3 linked regions of the Tamandua tetradactyla genome follow. The protein of the gene in region 1 purifies or fractionates together with the protein of each later gene. This does not show direct contact. Links are inferred from orthologs where the notes say so. Each region holds a gene or a part of one and is shown in the gene's direction. Other genes may lie near its edges. The genes, in order: TRIM33, SMAD4 and SSRP1.

Evidence for each region.
Region 2: the proteins of TRIM33 (region 1) and SMAD4 purify together in Homo sapiens (affinity purification with western blotting; 7 studies listed by BioGRID and IntAct, with this or other methods). This does not show direct contact. The link is inferred for Tamandua tetradactyla from reciprocal best matches to the Homo sapiens genes TRIM33 and SMAD4.
Region 3: the proteins of TRIM33 (region 1) and SSRP1 purify together in Homo sapiens (affinity purification with mass spectrometry; 3 studies listed by BioGRID and IntAct, with this or other methods). This does not show direct contact. The link is inferred for Tamandua tetradactyla from reciprocal best matches to the Homo sapiens genes TRIM33 and SSRP1.

The regions. Positions count from the first base shown.
Region 1 is NC_135337.1:7,027,404-7,031,148, forward strand, and holds the start of TRIM33 (E3 ubiquitin-protein ligase TRIM33), read left to right. Parts: upstream 1-1,415; 5' UTR 1,416-1,476; coding exon 1,477-2,005; intron 2,006-3,745. UniProt on the Homo sapiens protein: Acts as an E3 ubiquitin-protein ligase. Promotes SMAD4 ubiquitination, nuclear exclusion and degradation via the ubiquitin proteasome pathway. According to PubMed:16751102, does not promote a decrease in the level of endogenous SMAD4.
Region 2 is NC_135344.1:31,637,217-31,640,961, reverse strand, and holds the start of SMAD4 (mothers against decapentaplegic homolog 4), read left to right. Parts: upstream 1-792; 5' UTR 793-1,216; exon of another isoform or gene 1,217-1,480; intron 1,481-3,745. UniProt on the Homo sapiens protein: In muscle physiology, plays a central role in the balance between atrophy and hypertrophy. When recruited by MSTN, promotes atrophy response via phosphorylated SMAD2/4.
Region 3 is NC_135335.1:20,257,154-20,260,898, forward strand, and holds the start of SSRP1 (FACT complex subunit SSRP1), read left to right. Parts: upstream 1-775; 5' UTR 776-923; intron 924-1,397; 5' UTR 1,398-1,518; coding exon 1,519-1,572; intron 1,573-1,987; coding exon 1,988-2,173; intron 2,174-2,749; coding exon 2,750-2,855; intron 2,856-3,106; coding exon 3,107-3,297; intron 3,298-3,745. UniProt on the Homo sapiens protein: Component of the FACT complex, a general chromatin factor that acts to reorganize nucleosomes. The FACT complex is involved in multiple processes that require DNA as a template such as mRNA elongation, DNA replication and DNA repair.

The DNA.
Region 1 (3,745 bases):
CTACTCTTTCCCTTGCTCACAGCAGTCCAGCCACACCGACCGTCCTATTCCTCTAACAAGTCAGAAATCCTTGCCTTCCTCAGGTCCTTTGCACTGGCTATTTGTTCCTCTGCCTGGAACAGTCTTCAACAAAAGAACCACAAAGCCTGTTTACCTGCATCACTCCCTGACATACATATCTTCCTCCATTTGATAGTAAACTCCTAAAAGGCAGGATCGCTTTTGTTCTGTTCTCTGCTGCAATCCCAGTGTCTCTAAAATACTGCCTGACACGCAATAAGGAGTCTGAACGAATGAATGAAAAACTTTTTTTGAGTCGGTTTATCTTATTTTAGGGACTTAGACCAGTTCACAGAGCATCGGTTTTTGTCAGAAGACCAAAGCACTTCATAATCCTAACACTAAAACTGCCTTTGCGCTATATAACATCCTCAAGGTACTTGTTTTTCAAATAACAGGCAATCCTTTCTGAAAGCATTTACTACCAGAATTGCTGGGTCACCTGCCACCTAACTCACCGCAGGACACTTGGTGATATTAGAAGGACCAGGTCTTAGAAGGACCTAATATTGGTTAGACGGGTGGCTTTCCCAACTGCCGCTCACCAGAATTACCCTAGGTAATTTTTAGACATCCATCTGCCCTCTCTTTCATTTCCTGATTCAGGTCTGAGGCATAACCCTGGCGTGTTTTAAAAAAGCTTCTCAGTTGATAGGTTTTTTTTTTTTTTTTTTTTTTGGTATGTAGCGATATTTGAGAATCAAGCTCTTTAAGAAGTTAAAAATAGCTATTAAAAGAGTTTCTTCCCTCACCGGGTGCGTTCGACTTGTTTCTGGTAGGCGCCAGTTAGAGAGAAAGTCCCATTTCACTACTCCCCTGAGCAGCAGTCATTGAAAGGAAGGCGGCCGGACACCGCACAAGAGCGCCAGGTGCTCCCGCGTCCCGGGCGGCAGGTGAGGCTTCCGCGGAGAAGCCTTCCGGGGGCCGGGGCGACGCCGGCCTAGAAACCATCCCTCGGGCCGGAACCGGCCTCAGTCTCCTCCTCTTCCACCCTTTCCCGCCCTTCTTTCCGCACCACCGCTGTGTCCGAGCTCACATCCACCCCCAAGCCAAAGGCCGTCCAAGGCCAAAGCCTCGGTCTTTGAAAAGTGGTTACTCGTCGGACCGCAGAGAAGCAGACACAAGACAACCTCGGAGGTCCAGCAAAGACGGACAGCTCGGTCGCCACCCACCTCGCCCGGCTCCCGCCTTCCCCCAGGAGGACGTGCGCCCGTACGTGCGCGCGCTGCGTCCGCCCTCTTTCCACCGCGCGACGCGAAGGCGGGGGCGCCGTGTGCGCGCGCGCTCTCGTTGGTTCGCTGGCTTGCTCGCTCTCGGCGGCCGCTCTCGCTGCGGCTGCGGCTGGGGCTGGGGGCGGCGGCGGTGGCGCGGGCGGCTGGCGGCGCGGGGCGGTCCGGCGGGTTCAAAGAGGAAAACATGGCGGAAAACAAAGGCGGCGGCGAGGCTGAGAGCGGCGGCGGGGGCAGCAGCAGCGCGCCGGTAACTGCCGGGGCCGCCGGGCCCGCGGCGTTGGAGGCGGAGCCGCCTCTTGCCGCGGTGCTGGTGGAGGAGGAGGAGGAGGAGGAAGGCGGCAGGGCCGGCGCGGAGAGCGGCGCGGCCAGGCCCGACGACGGGGGGGTGGCCGCGGCCGCTTCGGGCTCGGCCCCGGCTGCCCCAGCCCCTGCGGCCTCAGTGGGCTCTGGCGTCCCAGGAGGGGCAGTGTCGACGCCGGCCCCAGTTCCAGCCTCGGCTCCAGCTCCGGGTCCCTCGGCTGGGCCGCCGCCTGGCCCGCCAGCTTCGCTCCTGGACACCTGCGCCGTGTGTCAGCAGAGCTTGCAAAGCCGGCGTGAGGCGGAGCCCAAGCTGCTGCCCTGTCTTCACTCTTTCTGCCTGCGTTGCCTACCTGAACCGGAGCGCCAGCTCAGCGTGCCCATCCCGGGGGGCAGCAACGGCGACATCCAGCAAGGTGAGCTGGAGGCCTTGCCGGAGGCTGGGCCTCAGGGGATTTGAGCAGTCGAAGTGGACGGAGGTGCTTGGGCCCTGGACTGTTCGGACCGGCGAGCTCTGAGGGGTCGGGTAGTGAAGGACCCAGCCCTTGGGACGGTTTCCAGAGAAGCGGTACCGCAAGAAATGCGGGGAGGGTGAAGGGAGGGGTGCGGGCGCGAGAGACTGGGGGAGGGGACACCGGCTCCAGGGAGGTTTGTGCTGTGCAGACACGGGCTGGGAAGGCGTGGACTCGTACCAGACGCTGGTTCGGATGTCAGTGGGCCCCAGCTGTGAGTGAGGAGGGGTCTTTTCGGAACCGATTTTCAGAACCGTTTTGGGTGGAAGGGCCTCCGTCGGGCCAGGAGAGGTGTTGAGGAGGGAGTAGGTAAGGGATTTGGGATGTGGTGAACGATTGTCTGAAGGTAGGGGATTTGGCTTGTTCACTATTAAGGGGAAGAACGACTAGAAATTAAACAGTGGGAGGAGGATGAAGGGCACTGGAGAGTTTGGGAGCCCCCAGAGAAGGCTTTCTGGTTGAAAGTAATTTCAGGATGACATTGGGAAGGAGGAACTCTGGAAAGGAGACTGACTAGCTGTGAAGAGCCTGAAAGGTTAAGAGGGAAAAATTCTAAGATTTAGGGGTGAAGGAAAATGAATTTTGAAAGGAATTGGGAATTAGAGGAAGCGGGGCTTGAATTTCACTTCATTGTGCCTTTATGAGCCCCTGCTGTTCCAGCCTTTGTGCTAGGGTTGAATAAAATTGTCAACATGGAGTTCATTCACAATCGAATAGAAACAGATAACGTGCAGCGGCTGAGGTGGGTATTTGGCATAATGGGGGGAGGGAAGATCGGGGAAACCGTGGAGCAGGTTTCTTGAAGGGTGAGTAGCTACTGGGTGGGAGGGTATTCTGGGCACAGGTCACCTTACACATCCCTGGGCCTAGGGGGGTGTATAAAGTGACTGCTGGAAATTACATTGGTTCAGTGTCCTGGTAGGGAAGGGGTCTGTGATCTCTTATCTCAAACTCTTGGGCCAAGTATGTTTTGAACCTAAGAATTTTTTTTTCTTTTTCTCATGGAGTCTCTTACATAATATCCCGTCAAGTCCTGAGTTTACACCTTATGATCAAACACTGTTTCTGTAGTGAAACGTATGAATATCACTCTAATGGTAAGGACAGTAAGTAGCATCTCGCAGTTTAGGGTGGGTTTTGTTGTAAACTTTTGAAAAAAAAACTTTTAAAATGTCTAAGCTTCTTGAATTTTGGAATTGTAGGCAAGGGGTTGTAAATCTGTACTAAAGGGTTTGGGATTTATCCTGTAGAGTATGTCCTGTACACTGCAGACTAAAGGGAGTCTCTGAAGGGCTTTGATACCAAGGGGATAAAAAGATCAGATTTATGTCCCAGAAAGATGAGTTGGGGCCACATTGAGAGAGAGATGAGGGAAGGCAAGGCTGGAAGCTGGAAGGTCAATTAGGTGGGTCTTTGCATCAGTTAGGAGGCTCTAGTAATTAACATTTGGGATAGGTAGTAAAGGACTGATAAGTGTTAAAGAAGGAAGGGCTTTGGAAAGAGTAGGGACTTTGTAAGTGATGCTCAGTTTAGTCGTCTAGTTTGCCATTTTACTCGTGACTTGGACAGACTAATGTTCCTTAGCTTGTTTCTTCATTTGTGGAAGGGGAACAAAAATACCAACCCTCCTAGGGTTATTGATAG
Region 2 (3,745 bases), on another chromosome or scaffold:
GTGTGACGTCCAATGAGAAGTGGTTCGGAGTTCATGGAAAAAAAATGCCTATGTACATCAGACAGTGTGCTGATACTTTTTAAATTACAAGAGAAATGTCTCGTGAAAATTCAAAAAGTATGGAATGAACAGCAGAGTTTATGTCTTTCCTCAGCCAACAAGTAACTCAGTTAGTGGTGTTGTATGACATCGAAAGTCTCTTTCAACTCTGAGATTCCGCCTAAACTCTTCCAGTAAGAATCACTCACATTTCACAATACCTGGCAAGACTATCAAATATGATTCCTTGGTTAATGTCATGCGCATCTCCTTAACCCGGGGTGATCCAGGGCTGGTAGGAAGAGAAGGAAGGCCCGGTTACCGCCAGTCTCTTCCCGAATTAAATCAGTACAACTACCCTCTCCTCTGAGCTAGATTGGGCTTTTAAAATCTAATTTTTGCATCCACGTAGGTCCTAAAAGAAAAAAAAAATACTCCGCTGACCGCTGATCACAAACACTTAGACGCAAACTATTACGCCGATTCTGTAGGAATGCAGCCCCTTCTTCCATTCTGCTTGTGCACTTTTTGGAAAGGGATGCCAACTTCTTTGATGACCACTCTCTGCATGCAGCCTTTCCCCCACACCATCGTGAAACAACCCCCTCCGCCGGGGCCCAAGCAAGGGCCGGGACTCTCGGCTGTGCGCGGACCAGCACTACCCCGCGAGCGCCTGCGCAGAGCGACTCTACCCGTCACACAGGGCAGGAGGCGGGGGCACTGGGGAGAAGGGAAAGCTAAGGGGGAAAAGGGCCAAACCCTGAAATTACCCGGATGTGGTCCCTGCGCGCGCATGCTCAGTGTCCGTTCGACAAGTTGGCAGCAACAACACGGCCCTGGTCGTCGTCGCCGCTGCGGTAACGGAGCAGCTTGGGTGGAGAAGCCCCCGTTGGTGCCCGCCAGCTCTCTTCCTCGGGCCCTTCTCGCCCTCCCCTCGGCTCCGCGGCCGTCCGGAGGGCGGGAGCGGGTGAGGGGAGCCAGGCGTCCCGCAAGAGAGGCCCCCAGTCGCGGGGTGGCCCGGGAGCTCGAGCTGGTCCGGCCCGCACGGGCAGCGGTGCCGCGCCGAGAAGGGGGCGGACTGGCCCAGGCTCTCTGAGGCGGGGGCTGAGGAGCAGTCTGTATTGCTGGGGGAACAACGGCGGGAGAGCGGACTTCTCTCGCCACCACCCGAGCCCAGGTAACCGCGCCATGTCCCCTCCCCTTCCCCCGGCCAGGCCCGTGCGCCCCGCCCGCGGCTTCCCCGCCCCGGGGCGGGCTCCCGGCGGCAGCGGAGGCGGCGGGGAGCGCGCGGGAGGCCGGAGGTCTGCTGGGCAGAGCGAGCGAGCGCGGCCGCCTGCGGAGCTCAGTCGGGTCGGCGGCCCCTGCGCGTGTCGGGCTGGGCGCGGTGGCTCCAGTCCCTCGAGCTCGGGCCAGAGTTGGTCCTCCAGTCCCTAAGTCCCCTCTTAGTTAGGACGGGAATCAAGTTAAACTCGGAGGGGAAGGACTCCCGCTGCGGCCTTTGCTCCTCTTTGTTATTTAAGTAGTTTCACTGTTTGCCCCGGCAAAGCGCGTTGGGTTGGAGTGTGGACGGGGAGGAACCTTACCTTTAAATAAAAGTTGTAAATAGTTTTCCTTTTTTTTTGTCAAGCAAAAAAATTTTTCTCTTCATCCCTTTCTCTTCCTGATCGTGTCATTCTAGTTTACGTTTCTGGCTTTGTTTTGTTTACTTTTTGATATTGTGGGTGATGGCGGTATGCAGGAAACTGTTTTAGCACCTAATTGAACCGCCATTCCCGCCTTCAGTAAAAAATGTTTCCTAATAAAAGACGTAGTTTATCTTATTGCCAGGACTAAGTGTACAGATCGTGAAATTGGTGTAGCGTGGAGGGCGATGACTCCATCACAGGCCCTAAGCTGCTGTTTTTAATTCTCAAGCTAGATTTTAAAAGAAATGGGTGTTTTTTAGTTAACATGAAAGGTTTCTTTGCGGATATAGAGAGATTTTTTTAAAAACTCTGTTGAAAATGGATAGCTCTTTTCCCTTTGAAAACCCTAGTAAACCTTTTTAAAAAAAAATTAACACATGTTTAAAAAATGCAGTTTTATTAAGATACAGTCACACACCATACACACATCCGAAGTATACACTTGCTGGCTCACAGCATTATATAGTTGTGCATACATCCCATTATATGCACATATTTATCTAAAACTAATTTTGGAATTGGTTTAATTCTTTTAGATTTTGCCCCATAGTTTAGGCTTAAGTTGCCAGTTATTTAGTACTTATAATACAAAATATAGGTAATCATTTTATGTAGCCTGAATTGACTCCAAAGGCATGCGTTCTTGGCTGATTGAAAAAAAGTCTCGCTTGACTTTTTCGAGAATTAGCATCCTTTTAGTCTGTAGCCACTTGAATATTCGGTTAAGACGTCCGGTCAGTACTTGTGCAGGCAGAAACCATTTAGAGCCTTAAAAGGAAATGAAGAAATGCATACTTTTATAAAGAAATTAGATTTAGAACATTGCATTTCAATAAATTACCTTTGCCATATCGGGACTAGATATATTTTAGTTGAAATACAGCTTATGAAATTCTGAGGTGTAATTTTTATTTTTCTGCTGGAAAGCTCTGATATGGTTAATTCATAATACAATTAACATTTAAAAATATGGTTTCTCATCTGTGTTTCTTCCATAATGTGGTCATGATTTTATTTCCTTAAATGGGTTTGTTACAGAACAAATGTAATAGAGGGAGGCCAAACATTTATGACTTGGAGTAACTTTAGTTATTAAGGTGGTGATGAATTAGGTAGGTTTAAGTTATTGGAGTTAAAACTAAAAGCTTTTCTGGAGAAAATTGATAAAACATTTTGTGAGTCTATTAATAGAAGTGGCTTTTTCTTTGCTTTCTAGGTTTTTGGGTGGATTTGCTTTAAAGAGATAATGCATTTTAGTTTTTTTTATTTTTGAAGTGAAATTTGGTTTGAGTGACTTCATTGCAAATCTGTTTCAGACTTCATAAAAGTTTGTGCTGAGAAAGCCTGAATCAGTTTTATGTGATTCATTGACCTTTTATGATGGCTTTCCTCAAAGCCAGTCTGGTTATACTAAGAAGCAGCAAATCTAAAAACCTGTGCTTTACTTTCTTAAGCTGTACTGTAGTGGAGCTAGTTCTCTGTTTGGGTGTGAATTTTTTTGCATTCCCTTTCAAATTTCACCCCTCTTCTCTTAAATTAAAGAATAAATATTATAAACTGATGATTCTAGCAGTTACATTTCAGCTCTCTGGCTTGAAATGACTTTTTCTGATAGAGCCAGTGTTAAGGTAACATCACTAGACACCAGTGTCATTGGGCTGTGAATTGGTGAGATCTTTGCTAGCACAGTTAACTGTACAGGTTCTGCCGAGTCTGTTAAATTAAAAATACATATTTAGTCTTACCTAGTATTTTGCCTATATTGGTGAGAACATTTTATTATTTTTCTTATGTTTAAACTTTCAGTTCTAATTTGTTTCCCTATAGCTCTTGCCTCATGTGTTTTCTTCCCGTTTCCTGTTCAATGACGATTTTTTTTTTGTGTGAAACAACATATATTCAAAAAAGCAATATATTTCCAAGTACGTTTTAACAAGTAGTTATGGAGCAGATTTTAAAGTTTGGTATGGGTTACAGAACCTTGATTTTTCATTTTTTCTTCTAACTACTCCAAGACACTG
Region 3 (3,745 bases), on another chromosome or scaffold:
ATCCTGGGCAAGTCCCCTGAAGGTCCCACTTTTCTCATCTGCAGAAGGAGTTGGATTAGAGCAACATTTCTTCTCGGTCTGGCCTTCCCTGGTTTTGTAAGACGCACGGTGCGGCTCGGTTTCCGCGATCCCAGGCTGATGGGATTTCAAATCCTTTCCGGCTCTACGGTGCATGTGACACCAGCGCTGGAACTTGACACCGCCGATTGCCAGCCTCTTCCGGGGGGGCCTATCAATTGCCGTTTTGAGTGCGGCTTTTGGGAGCAGACAGTGAAATTTCAAAAAGAATCCAGCCCTACTGGACCGGGGATACAGCCAGAGAGCCATATGGTCACAACACCAACGCCCGCATTCTCTGTGCAGCCAGTGGGAGGGGTCGTTTCTCGCCACAGCTCTTTAAATCTTTTCCTTCAGGTTCCAGAGACTCCTCTCCGCTCCAAAGCAACCACTCTCGTGCAGTGGAAGGACGTGCAACACCGCAGCACGGACACACGCATACGTGCAAAGTCTTGATAAAACAAAACTATACAATTTCCCTTTAGAATCCAGTCCTCCCCTGAAGAAGGGGCTGTAACTTCCTAAAGAAGCACTTCCCTCCTGGAGTCAGATTCCATTCCCCTGCCACCCCCCCGGGGTAAGCGGACTTCAGCCCCCAAACGACTCCCTCGGGTCCTCCAGAGCGGCTGACACTCTATGGGACCGCCTCACAGGCGGTCCGGGCTCGCGCTTCTCTAGCCCGCTCGTCCTCTCTATGGTCTAAGCGCGACTTCCGGTGGCGGGACGCGGGGCCGCGCACGCGGGAAAGCTTCCCCTGCGTCCCTCTTCCAGCCCCCAGGTTCCCATCCCCGTTTCCCCCTCCCCCTGCGCCCCCCAGCGCGCCCACCGCCCGTGCCGGGGCCCTCGTGAGGTGGCCGCCCGAGGAGGTAGGTGGCCGGCGTCCCCGTCCCCCAGGGAGGCGGGCTCAGCTCCCCCGCGGCACGCTCGAGATGGACCGTTCCGTATTCGAATCCGCGGGCAGTGGGCGAATCCATTTTGGGGGGAGGGGGAGACGCGGGTCTGGGGCCGCGCCGCGCGGGTCGCTCGGGGAGGGAAACTCTGCAGCCTGAGCTGGGTTGGGGGCCCGGGCAAGGTGTGGGGTCCTGGCAAGCCCTGGAGTTCCGCTGCTCGTTGCCATGGCGCCCAGGGGAGCGCTTCGAGCTAGGGTCGGGTTGGGGTGGAAGCGCTCCTTCGGGCCTCGGTTCTCGGGCCGGGCCTGGCTCCTTTACCCCGCAGAGGCTGCCTGAAGCTTCCCAGGCAGGGGAGATCCTGAGACGTCCCAGGGCCAGTCGCGGGTGCCACCTCGGCCCAGCCCCGAGCACAGTGATGTCTTTCGTGCTGGTCTGTCCTTTTGAATTTAGGTTCCCAACTTGCGGAACAACTGGACGCGCACCGAGGAGTTGGGACTCAGCTCCCAGTTTTTTTTTGGCTCCCCCTTGTGCAGCCTAGGGCTTCGTGCCCAGGCCAGCGGGCCAGATCAGCATGGCAGAGACCCTGGAATTCAACGACATCTATCAGGAGGTGAAAGGCTCAATGGTGAGAAAGGCTTGAACTTTTAATACGGTTGGAAGTGGGGTAGAGAGTTTGTGCTTTAACAAGGGCTTGCTTTGATAATGTGGTTAGTATGGAAGAGGAGGATTCAAAATATTATGTGTGTCTGGTGCTTCTCCAACGAGGAACGACACTGAGAGGGACTCCTTGGATCTCAGGGTTAGAAAGGATTTTATAGGTTGTTCGGTTCCAAATCCCGCTGTTAGAGATGAGGCAGTTAAGGACCCACAGGGCTTTGGGTGCCAGAGTGGAGATGAGATCCATTCTTCCTATTTGTCTGTTCTCACTGGCCCTGACGACTTCTGGTGTTGCTCCTGCATCGATAAAGGGCATTGGGTGGGACCATGCATGGCACCCAGTGTGTACCATCTCCACCTCTCTGGGCCTGTTTTCCCGACAGAACGATGGCCGGCTGAGGTTGAGCCGCCAAGGCATTATCTTCAAGAACAGCAAGACGGGCAAAGTGGACAATATCCAGGCTGGGGAGCTGACGGAAGGCATCTGGCGTCGTGTAGCTCTAGGCCATGGACTTAAACTGCTCACAAAGAACGGCCACGTCTACAAATACGATGGCTTCCGAGAATCGGTGAGATGTCCTAATGCAAATAGCCTCCTTTTTTGTGTTATCTTGTATATTTTTGAACTTTTAGAGAGAGTAGGGACTTTCCGATAGTATTGCTATTTTGAGCTTATTAGAGCTGGGCCATTGAGGCCGTGGAACAGTCAGGGTTCTGTTATGCTGTTCAAGTCTGGTGAGTTTCTTTAAGATTTCCTGCTGTTTTTATTTAGATGATTTCTACCTGTTTTCTTAATCCAGGTTGAGAAGCTTGGCTTGATGCTTTTGTTTTATTTTTCCACTTGGAGTTGCTTCAGATTGGAAGACTTTCTTTATCTTAATTGCCACTTCCTTTAAAGTAACACCTATACAAAGTTTAAGAAGCTAGTACTATTAAGTCTCATAAACAGGAATGTCAGTTCATTACTTTACTCTTCCTCTAGCCTGCGATCCATTCCCTGTATACAATCTCTTTAAACTACTTTACAGCTGAGATTAAGTTAGCATGGATTTTTGACACAGGGGGTACCGGGACAGTCTCTTGTGAATACGTAACCCTAGCCTATTCAAGGCTGTGTTGAGGTTCTCTTTCTCCTCTATCCACAGGAGTTTGAGAAACTCTCTGATTTCTTCAAAACTCACTATCGCCTTGAGCTAATGGAGAAGGACCTCTGTGTGAAGGGCTGGAACTGGGGGACGGTGAAGTTTGGCGGTGAGTTTTAGGAGAGACTGGTTTATAGGAGAAGGTAGGATGAAGGGTTTTGGTCTTTGACTCGTTTTGCTCTCTGTCCTGTGCCACTGTCTCCGATTTCTGGTCAGTCCATGCATTCATCCTGCATTTTATGGATATCGCCAGTGTGCACAAAATAACCCCAGTTCCCCTTCCTCACGGAACTTACGGTCTGGTGGAAATGCTCTTTGTTCAGGGGAGGAGCATGTGGCTTAATAATGCCTTCCCTATAGGGCAGCTGCTTTCCTTTGACATCGGCGACCAGCCTGTCTTCGAGATACCCCTCAGCAATGTGTCCCAGTGCACCACGGGCAAGAACGAGGTGACACTGGAATTCCACCAGAACGACGATGCAGAGGTCTCGCTCATGGAGGTGCGCTTCTACGTGCCTCCCACTCAGGAGGATGGCGTGGACCCCGTTGAGGTGAGGCCGCCCCCACTTGCCTTGGGAGCAGATGGTAGTGAGCAGACTTGGGCTGACCTGGGGACAGGAGCTTGCCTGATGACCAGGGTGTGCTTTTTTTTAGTTTTTAAAAAAAATATAACAAACAAACGCAAACATTCTTAATTTAAGATTATTCCGTTCTACACATATAATCAGTAATTCACAATATTATCACATGGTTGCATATTCATCATCATGATCATTTCTTAGAACATTTACATCGATTCAGAAAAAGCAATAAAAAGACAACAGAAAAAAATTCATCCATACCATACCCCTTACTCCTCCCTTTCATTGATCACTAGCATTTCAACCTAAATTTATTTTAACATTTGTCCCCTCTATTATTTATTTTTATTCCATATATTTTATTCGTCTGTTGATAAGGTAGACAAAAGGAGCATCAGACACAAAGTTTTCACAATCA